2 linked regions of the Ovis aries genome follow. The protein of the gene in region 1 purifies or fractionates together with the protein of each later gene. This does not show direct contact. Links are inferred from orthologs where the notes say so. Each region holds a gene or a part of one and is shown in the gene's direction. Other genes may lie near its edges.

Region 1 (4,454 bases):
TCCAATATGACCTTAGAGACTATATAACTTTGACATTTTGTTTTGCTTTGCCTTTTGAGGATAAACTCCCTCATTTGTCCAGACTACATTCCCTGCCTCTGGAAATTCCCTATGGACAAAAAAATTAGGTACTGTTAAGTTCCACCTTTTAAAACACAGAACATTCTCTGTTGTGTGAAATGCTGCTATAAAGGCCGGTGATTAGCTTCCACAGAGTAGGTCAAATGTCTATTGAGCTGCACCCCAAGACAACAACATTTTCTGCCCGCTTTTTAGCAGCAACAGGCCCTATCAGTTACTGGGGATCAGAGGCCGGGGATCAGAGGCCCAGTATTTCAGATGTTAATATGCCTTGGCCACGTGGAGTCACTGAACTGGGGCAACGTTTTTAAAAACTGGTGGGACTTGTGCAGTCATAATCCCGGTGATCCGTTTCGGGTTGGAGAGGGAGGGGGTGGCTTTTTCCACTGCCTTGAGAAGTCATTTAAAGTACGTGGGATAGTAGGGCCCGGACCTTTGGGAAACTTGAAACCCAGAGGATGTACCCGCGGAGACAACTCATCTGGCTTCAGGTGTCATTGATTCTGGAATGTGTTAAGGTGGGGAGGGGGGTGGTGTGGCAAATCAGCTTTCATCCCTTTTAGGAACTCGGTACAATTCTGCAAGCTAAAGACTCAGGCCAGGCGAGAGGTGCCCACGCCTCCGAACGTGGCATCTGAGCTGAGCTCCTCTTCAGAGATGACTCCGCATTTGAACCTCTGCCCACGGTCCAAGCCCGCGCGGGCGACGGGGTGGGGCACGTGACCGGCTCTCCTCCGCGGCCATGCCTAGTGGGGCGACGGCCACTGTCCCTTCCACATCTTCGAGCCCCTGCAGCGCCGGACGGCGTATAGACACCCTTCAGGAGGCGGTCACCCAGCTAGCTCTGGACTCCAAGGTTAACAGCACTCACGCCTTTTCTCCGGCAACGGTTAGCGAGCCCCTATATCCCGAAGCCGGAGAAGGAAATGGCAACCCACTCCAGTATTCTTGCCCGGAAAATCCCACGAACTGAGGCGCCTGGTGGGCTTACAGTCCACCGGGTCGCAAAGATACGGACCCGACTGTACCACCTCTCCTTACTTCACTATTCCGAAGCAGCTGCCCGAAACTTCCGCCTGGGTGCCGACCACGTGATCACGCGAGACTTGGGGAGGCGGCGGGTCTTCACAACTTTAAGTCGGCCCCGCCCCTCACGACGCCTTCCACAGGGCTCGACAACGCGGCCTGCGGCGGCCTCCGCCCCGGCGCGCCTGCGCACGCGGCTCTCGCGGTGTTCTCGCGCTCGGCCCCGCCCACCGCTGCCCCCGCCCTTTCCGCCCCTCCCTCCCCCCTCCGCCCTGTCTCTCGGCGGCGGCGGCGGCGGCGACGGCTCGCGCAGCTCGTTGGCTCACTATATAAAGGGGAGAAGCGGGCGGACCGGACGGCTGGAGCTGCAGCCGGTGGCGGCGGCGGCGCGGGGAGCGGCGACTGGTGGTGGTTTCCCTCCTTGGCGCGGGGGTGGGGAGCGGGCAACGCCCCCCGGGACCCCTGAAGGGTCGTGGCCTTTTTTTTTTTTTTTTTAAAGGGCGATTCTCGAGTTTTTTTAGCTCCGGGAGGACTCCCCCTCCCTTCGTCCTCCCCTTCCTCCTCTCGCCGCTCCCCTCTCCTCCGTCAGGATCCGATTTTGTTTGAAAGATTTTCCCCTCAGTTTTGCGGTGGCTTGGGTCACCCTCGAGTGTTTTTTTTATTTTTTTCCTCTCTTTCGTTTTGTTTTCATCTTGTTTCCTCGGGGTGGCCCCCCCCACTCTTGTTTGTGTTGTGTGTGGAAATGGCGAACTCGGCAAATACAAACACCGTGGTAAGGACGTGGTTCGGTGGCCGGCGGGGGCTTCGTTCAGGCGGCGAGCAACGGCCGGACCGGGCGGGGGCGGGGACGGCGGCGACTCCCCGGCCTCGACTCTCCTCAGCCGCCCGCGCGCGGCCGCCGCTTCCCGCCTCGGGCGGCGCGGGCCGGGGCGGCGGGGCGCGGGGGGTGGTGGGGGGCGGGCGCCGAGGCTCGCGGAGGGGGCGCCGGCGGCGGGGAGGGCTGGGGCGCCGGCCGGGCCTGGGGCCGCCGCGGGGCGGTTGGGCCGGGGCGAGCGCGCGGTCCCGGCCCTGGACCCCCCCCGGCCGCCAGGAGGGGAGGGCAGGAGGGGAGCCGCCGCTTCCCTACCACCCCCCTCGCCCGCCCGCCCCCGAACCGGCAGGAGAAGGGGCTCCCCGCGAGCCGTCTCAAAAAAAAAAAAAACCGGCGTCTGGGGGAGCCGGGCGAGTCCCCCCTCGAGACCCACCGCGATCCACTGTTAACGCGGTGGAAGGCGAATGGCTACTCTGGGGGTTACTCTGAGGTGTTCTGGCGGTTGTGCTTAGGGAGCCTTCACTGGGGCCATTTTATGTATTATTGGAAAAAAAAAAAAAAAAGACGAAGGTTGAAAAGCACTTATTTCGGTTCCTTCCGAATCGGTAAAATGGCGAAGGGGAAGCAACCCCCAACGTCGTATATACCTCCGACTAGCAAAAGCACCAAAACAAAACAAAGCCTCCAGTGGTCCAAAGTGCCCCGCTTTCGCCTTGAAATCTGCCTACTTGCCACCGTTGGTCCCTTTTTTTTTTCTTTTTTCCTTACTTGCGATCACGTAGGTTTGCAAAAAGCAGTCACATAAATAACCTTGTCTGTCAGTCAACAACGCAGTGTGATCACGAGTCCACCCCCACTCTCTTTTATTTTTATTTTAACAATAAAACAAACGTTTCTGCCCGGTCCCAAACGCAGACCAGCCCCGCGGCAGCCCGGCCCCGTACCGTTGACGACTCGGGTCGATCCATCATGGCTGCGGCCGCTTACCCTGCTTTTCAGTCCCTGAGCCTTGTGGTCCTCCTCCCTTTGGCTGCCCTGTTTATATAGAGCCATTGCCGCTCTCTAATATAGACTCTGCCAGGATGGGAAGGTGCTTTTCAGGCCTACGTCACCGCCTCTCCATTTAAACACCAGATCCGGCTTTAAATAGTGAGAGCTGCTGAGAGCGGGGCTGGGAGGTGCGTGCTCCCGAGGCGAGAGGCAGGCGCGTGCAGAGCTCACTTTTATTTCTAGGTCCTTTTCTGCCTACTGTAATTTCGTGCCCAGTCAGGGCGGCCTTCGCAGCCGCAAGTTTTTGTTTGGACGCAGCAGCTGGGATTTGCCGGTCTTTGTTAGGGGAGAATAGACTTGCCGTCTCTTCTTTTTATTTTTGTTTTTAAAAACAATTTTAAGCTCAGATGTCTAATCGTTTCTGTATTTAAGAAGGTACATGCATTATTGTCAGTTATTATTTTTTTTTTTAAGCTTTAGCTTCCAGCTGTAGAGGGTTTGATTTTGGTAGTATTTTTTTCACCGAGCATTCAGGACATATTAGAAATACAGCTGCTAATATTTCATCATGTTTTCCTGTAATAAATGTTTGAGACACACACCTTTTCAAAGAAATAGAGAAGTGCCTAAACCTTCGACGTAGAGTCTTATGTCTACAGTACAGTAATTGTTAGGGGAATTGTGAGTAATGTGAAGAGGCTTAGTGCAAACTGGGTATTAAAAAATTAAAGTTCTAAGTAGACTGTTTTTGCTGCATTGCATGTTCATATGGTATCCCGTGTAGAAATTAATCCAATTTATTTTCCAGTATTGTACTAGGAACTAACACTTTTGAAAGAAATTCTTTGTTACTTAATGACGCTAATGGCCCTTTAATTCACGAGTTTGGAATATCTGGTATTTGAAAACCAGGACAAACCTCAATTACTGTGTATTCCATAAAAGGCAGAAACTGGTTCAAGTAAAGTTTAGTGTTTTAAATAATAATTTGGAAATTGCTTTTTTCAGATATTGCCTATGTACTCGCATACTCTGAAAGACAGCAGTAATTTGGGTGCTTTTTAACTCCTGAACAATTTAAAATTCTCTGTGTACTTAATGATGAATACACATTTCCCTTTAACTATAGTGCATACAAATGCATTAAGTGGTCAGGTTGTGGGTTAATTAAAGCAGAAAAACAAAATATTAAAGCAGGATCGTTTCATTAACTAGGGAGTGCCAGAAGAAGGCACATTGTACCAATAAATGTGCAGATATCCAAGCAGAATATTTAGGGATGACTAACTTCAGAAACATTACAATTATTTTGCTGAAAAATTAATTTATATCGTCAATATGACATTTATACTACCAATTTAAAATTACACTGCATCTTTATAATGCTTTGAATCATTGGTTAAAAAAACTTTATAAATGTATTTTTGTAATTCAGTAGTTGAATCACTATAGATCAAGTAATATCCATAGGCAGACTTCCCTTGTTTATAGAATCAGACATTTTAAGGAGATATTGTAGAGATGGCAGAAGTCACTTGAATAATTT
Region 2 (4,482 bases), on another chromosome or scaffold:
AAGTCACTGAAGGTACAAGCCTTAGTTTCTTGTCAGCTTTGTCTCATGTCCGATTCCCCTTGCACTCACTGATCATGATGCCCCATCCAGGCTACTCAGTTCAGTTCGATTCAGTCGCTCAGTCGTGCCCGACTCTTTGCGACCCTGTGAATCACACCACGCCAGGCCTCCCTGTCTATCACCAACTCCCAGAGTTCACTCAAACTCATGTCCATTGAGTTAGTGATGCCATCCAGCCATCTCATCCTCTGTCGTCCCCTTCTCCTCCTGCCCCAAATCCCTCCCAGCATCAGAGTCTTTTCCAATGAGTCAACTCTTCTCATGAGGTGGCCAAAGTATCGGAGTTTCAGCTTCAGCATCAGTCCTTCCAATGAACACCCAGGACTGAACTCCTTTAGGATGGACTGGTTGGACTTCCTTGCAGTCCACGGGACTCTCAAGAGTCTTCTCCAGCACCACAGTTCAAAAGCATCAATTCTTCTATGCTCAGTTTTCTTCACAGTCCAACTCTCACATCCATACATGACCACTGGAAAAACCATAGCCTTGACTAGACAGACTTTTGTTGGCAAAGTAATATCTCTGCTTTTGAATATGCTATCTAGGTTGGTCATAACTTTCCTTCCAAGGAGTAAGTATCTTTTAATTTCATGGCTGCAATCTCCCACACAGATAGCTCTAGCCTGTCTTGTTCCCTCCGCCTGGAACACTGTGCACCCCTTCCATTCCCCCTCAGATAACAACCTGAAAGTCATCTCCCCACTACTCCACAGTCATGACTCTCTAACCCAGCCTCTTGCTTGCTGTCTTCATTACACCTAATACAAGCTATAATTATTTAATACTGTTCAAAGAATAAATGACTATAGAAACTGAAACAGATCAAAGTTCCATAATTCTACAGTGTCTTTAAATGCTCACATATTTTACTGAATATTCAGAGTAGGAAGGAAAAGATCTATAGGCATCCTTGGAGACCCCATAAATAGGGAAATACTCAAATGGTTGCCTCCTCCCCAACCCCTCAGAAGTCAGCCCAAGTCATCTATTTCAAAAAGAACTGTGGTATTAGCATGATTCATGGCGGATGCACACCAACCAGAGGCCAGGTATTCATGAGGCCCTTAGGGCCTTTTATTAAAATTAGAGCTGCCCACTGGTCTCATCCAGGGAGAGGCTTTTAACTGCAGCCCAACTCTGAGCAGAGGCCTGTGCCGGCCCGCCTGGGAGTGGGACTCGGGGGCGCGGCGGGTATCCGCACCGCTGCTTCGCGCTCCCGGACCGTTAGTCCGGTCTCGCTCTCGCAGGCAGCACCCTTCAAGTGGCCCCCGAGGGGCCCCGAGGGCCCAAGCGCGGCCGTTCAAACTGGCGAAGTGTGCGCCTCTGGGAGTCCCCCGGGTCATTCCAGGGCCACTTGGGCGCGGAGCCGCGGAAGGGTCTCATTCCTCAGGCGCTCGGCTTCCGTGTGAGCAGAGCCGCCGCCGCCGCCGCCTCTGCTCAGCAGCCCGGACCCAGCGTGCAGCGGCCCTCTCCCTCCTCCCATCCTTCTTGGATCCGGCTACACGGCTTAAAAGCCTCTCAAGTGCTTCCCGACTTCCAAGGCAGAGTCCTGACCGCAAACCCAAGTTGAGTATGGAATATCAAAGGGGCAGGCGACAGAAATGTGACCTAACCCCTATTATCTATCACCTATCTATCTATCTATCTATCCATTCTTTTACCTGTCATATCCTATCACTGTATTTTAGGACTAGGATTAGCATTCCTTAACGAGAGTTTGATCACGTAAGTTAACGCGTTTAACCGAAAAAGCGGTCGGACTTTTTCAAAACAGAAAATGTATTCGTCAGAAGTAGAAAACAATTTTTAGTTGTTGAGGACCAGCTTCGCTAACTATATTGAATGGTGGACCTTTTCTATGAATTGAATGAGCTAACAGAAGTGGCACGGTTTTGCCCCACCCCCACCCCTCAAAATAAAAACCCTAAAGTCCGTTTATATTACACTGTATGCCAGAAATTACGTACTCATGTGTAACTACTAGCTAAAAATGTACAAGGGATGCACAGTTTTTTCGAAATCTTTCCAGGCGGTTCTCAAGCAAAAGAAATCTAGCTTATTACACACCTTTCCTCACTAACCCCACCTCGTCAAGCCCTTAGGCAGGCCGGGCCGACCCGGACACCAGGAAGGAGGAAGGGAAAGTGGAGGAAGAGGCGGGGGAAAGTGACGGGAGCAGTGAGAGCCGGATATGACTGGCTAGCGAGGAACCCAGGAGGGCTCTGTCCGGCGGCGCTCTAGCCGCCGAGCGTTGTCTCTATGCTCCCCCGCGTCTGGTCTATTTATTGTCGCGGGGAAGCAGCGGCCGCCCTGTACCCGGAACAACAAAGCACGAAAGACGGAGCCCGAGCCTTCGGGGCTCCTAGCAACCGGCCGGGGCAGGAGTTCCATGGAGACTGGGGAGCGTGCTCGCCTCATCATCATCCTTATCCTCCAGCTTATCCTTCGCGTCCGCCGCAACCGGCAGCAGCGCTGCCGCCGCGTCCTCTGCCGCCGCCCGCTCTTCCCACGGTAACCCGGTCGGCGACCCTGGGCGGGAGGGGTAGCGCGGGCTTCGGGGCTGCCCGAGTGCCGGTTGCGGGGCGTCTTGGCGCGGGGCGGGCTTGTGCGGAGCCGCGGGCATGCTGGTGATGGAGTGTGCGGGGGCGGATGCCTGGGCGAGGGGGAAGAGCAGCTCCGATGCGGGAAATTGGTCCAGCGGCCGAGGGAGGGTCCAGCTTTCAGGAGGACGGGGTGATATTTGGGGATCTCGTCTGGGATAACGGGGTGGGGGTGGGGCGTCACTGCCTGGGAACGTTATCCGGCGGGGTGTGGGATAAGAAGAGATATTTTTATTTCTTGGGTTAGCCACCACTGGGAAAGACTGGAGAAGGGAGATTCCCCATCTTTCTCTGTGGAGCCCTCACCCAGGGGACGAGAAATCGTGCAAAGATGCTAAAAGGGTCCGTTGCTTCCCAGAAAACTTCATGCGGCCTCGGCCGCGGCGGGAAGGCTCCCAAATAGCACCTTGGTCGTTCCTACTTTTGGCAATGCCTGCAGCACCTCCCCCCACCCTTTTTTTTTTTAATTTATTATTAGTAGTAGTATTAACCAGAATTAGGCTTGATGAAGGATCTGAAACTGAGGAGGATAAAATGGGTAGGACGTAGGACTAAGCAAGGTTGAGAACCGGGGTAAGAGCATAATAGCCAGTAAGAGGTCTAAAAGTAAATTCGATTGGAAACGACGGTTTTTAAACTCTCTCCTTCTGCTGAGATGTGCTTCTGCGGGCTCTGTCAGTGTGTTCATTGCAATAGGATTCAGACCGCAGCCAATCCACGTCTGTGAGCTCTCTGACTGCATCTGTCACCTGCAGTTCTAGAGAGACACTGGCAATTGACCAGCGTGGGCTTGGGTATTTAGGGTTAAGAAGAGTGACTTAAAATTGGCTCAAGGAAAGAAAAGGAAACAAGCTTGGTGTGATTTTTGTTTGCAGAGAGAATGACATTTTCCGTGGGGAAATTGAAAAAGAGAAATATGAGAAGGTTTAGCTAATTTAGCATAATCTGCAGCCTTTTGGAAAGTTTGAGAAAATGGCAGTTAAATCGAAAAAGGACTTTTATCATCGCTCTGTAGTTGAAAGAATTATTCACAGCTGATATCTTGCTTACCAGTTTGTGCCATCTCTTTAGGCCTTAGGCCTCTGTTTAATGGTTTTATGCTTCCCAAACCTTTCTAGGTCAGTAAATGAGGTTTTCCTGTGGCATACTGAAATGGCCATATATGCATGCTACAGTAATACTATTTTTGTGTCCAGCAGGAACAAAGCTCTTTAGTTGAAGATTAAAGATGAAAAGAAAATTGATAAATCACAGAAGCAATGATGTCAACCGTGGTTTCTCTTTGTCCCTTACTTTTTTTTTCCCTCTTACTTTTCCCCTAAGTCTGGCTTGTCTTAAGCAAAAACGTTTCATCCTGATCCCCCAAACCCCTGCTTTTGTATTCTGCCCTCAAAGTCAGTCTCTGAGACTATCATGATCTGCTGCTTTGTGCTCTTGATTGGTTGATGTCAGAATCGAGTTTTTGGCTGGGTATTTTCATGGAATTGAGGTACAGCATCTCTTATTAAACCAATTCCGTATATGTGCAAAGAGGTGGCAGATACCTTTAACAGAGATGCGAAATATAAATATTGTATGTGTGTTAAGTTGCTTCAGTCGTGTCTGACTCTGCACCTCTTTAGACTGCACCCTGCCAGGCTTCTCTGTCCATGGGATTCTCTAGGCAACGATACTGGAGTGGGTTGTGTGCCCTCCTTCAGAGGATCTTCCCAACCCAGGGATCGAACCTGCATCTTGCATTGTCAGGCAGATTCTTTACAACTGGCGCCACCTGGGAAGCCCGGGAGGTACAAACACTGGGAAACTTAAAATTGCATTTTAA

What was found.
Region 2: the proteins of GTF2A1 (region 1) and TBPL1 purify together in Homo sapiens (affinity purification with mass spectrometry; 5 studies listed by BioGRID and IntAct, counting the BioPlex papers as one, with this or other methods). This does not show direct contact. The link is inferred for Ovis aries from reciprocal best matches to the Homo sapiens genes GTF2A1 and TBPL1.

Annotation. Positions count from the first base shown.
Region 1 is NC_056060.1:90,691,808-90,696,261, reverse strand, and holds the start of GTF2A1 (transcription initiation factor IIA subunit 1), read left to right. Parts: upstream 1-1,434; 5' UTR 1,435-1,849; coding exon 1,850-1,879; intron 1,880-2,862; exon of another isoform or gene 2,863-2,936; intron 2,937-4,454. UniProt on the Homo sapiens protein: TFIIA is a component of the transcription machinery of RNA polymerase II and plays an important role in transcriptional activation. TFIIA in a complex with TBP mediates transcriptional activity.
Region 2 is NC_056061.1:59,382,260-59,386,741, forward strand, and holds the start of TBPL1 (TATA box-binding protein-like 1), read left to right. Parts: upstream 1-1,398; 5' UTR 1,399-1,625; intron 1,626-2,372; exon of another isoform or gene 2,373-2,571; intron 2,572-4,482. UniProt on the Homo sapiens protein: Part of a specialized transcription system that mediates the transcription of most ribosomal proteins through the 5'-TCT-3' motif which is a core promoter element at these genes. Seems to also mediate the transcription of NF1. Does not bind the TATA box.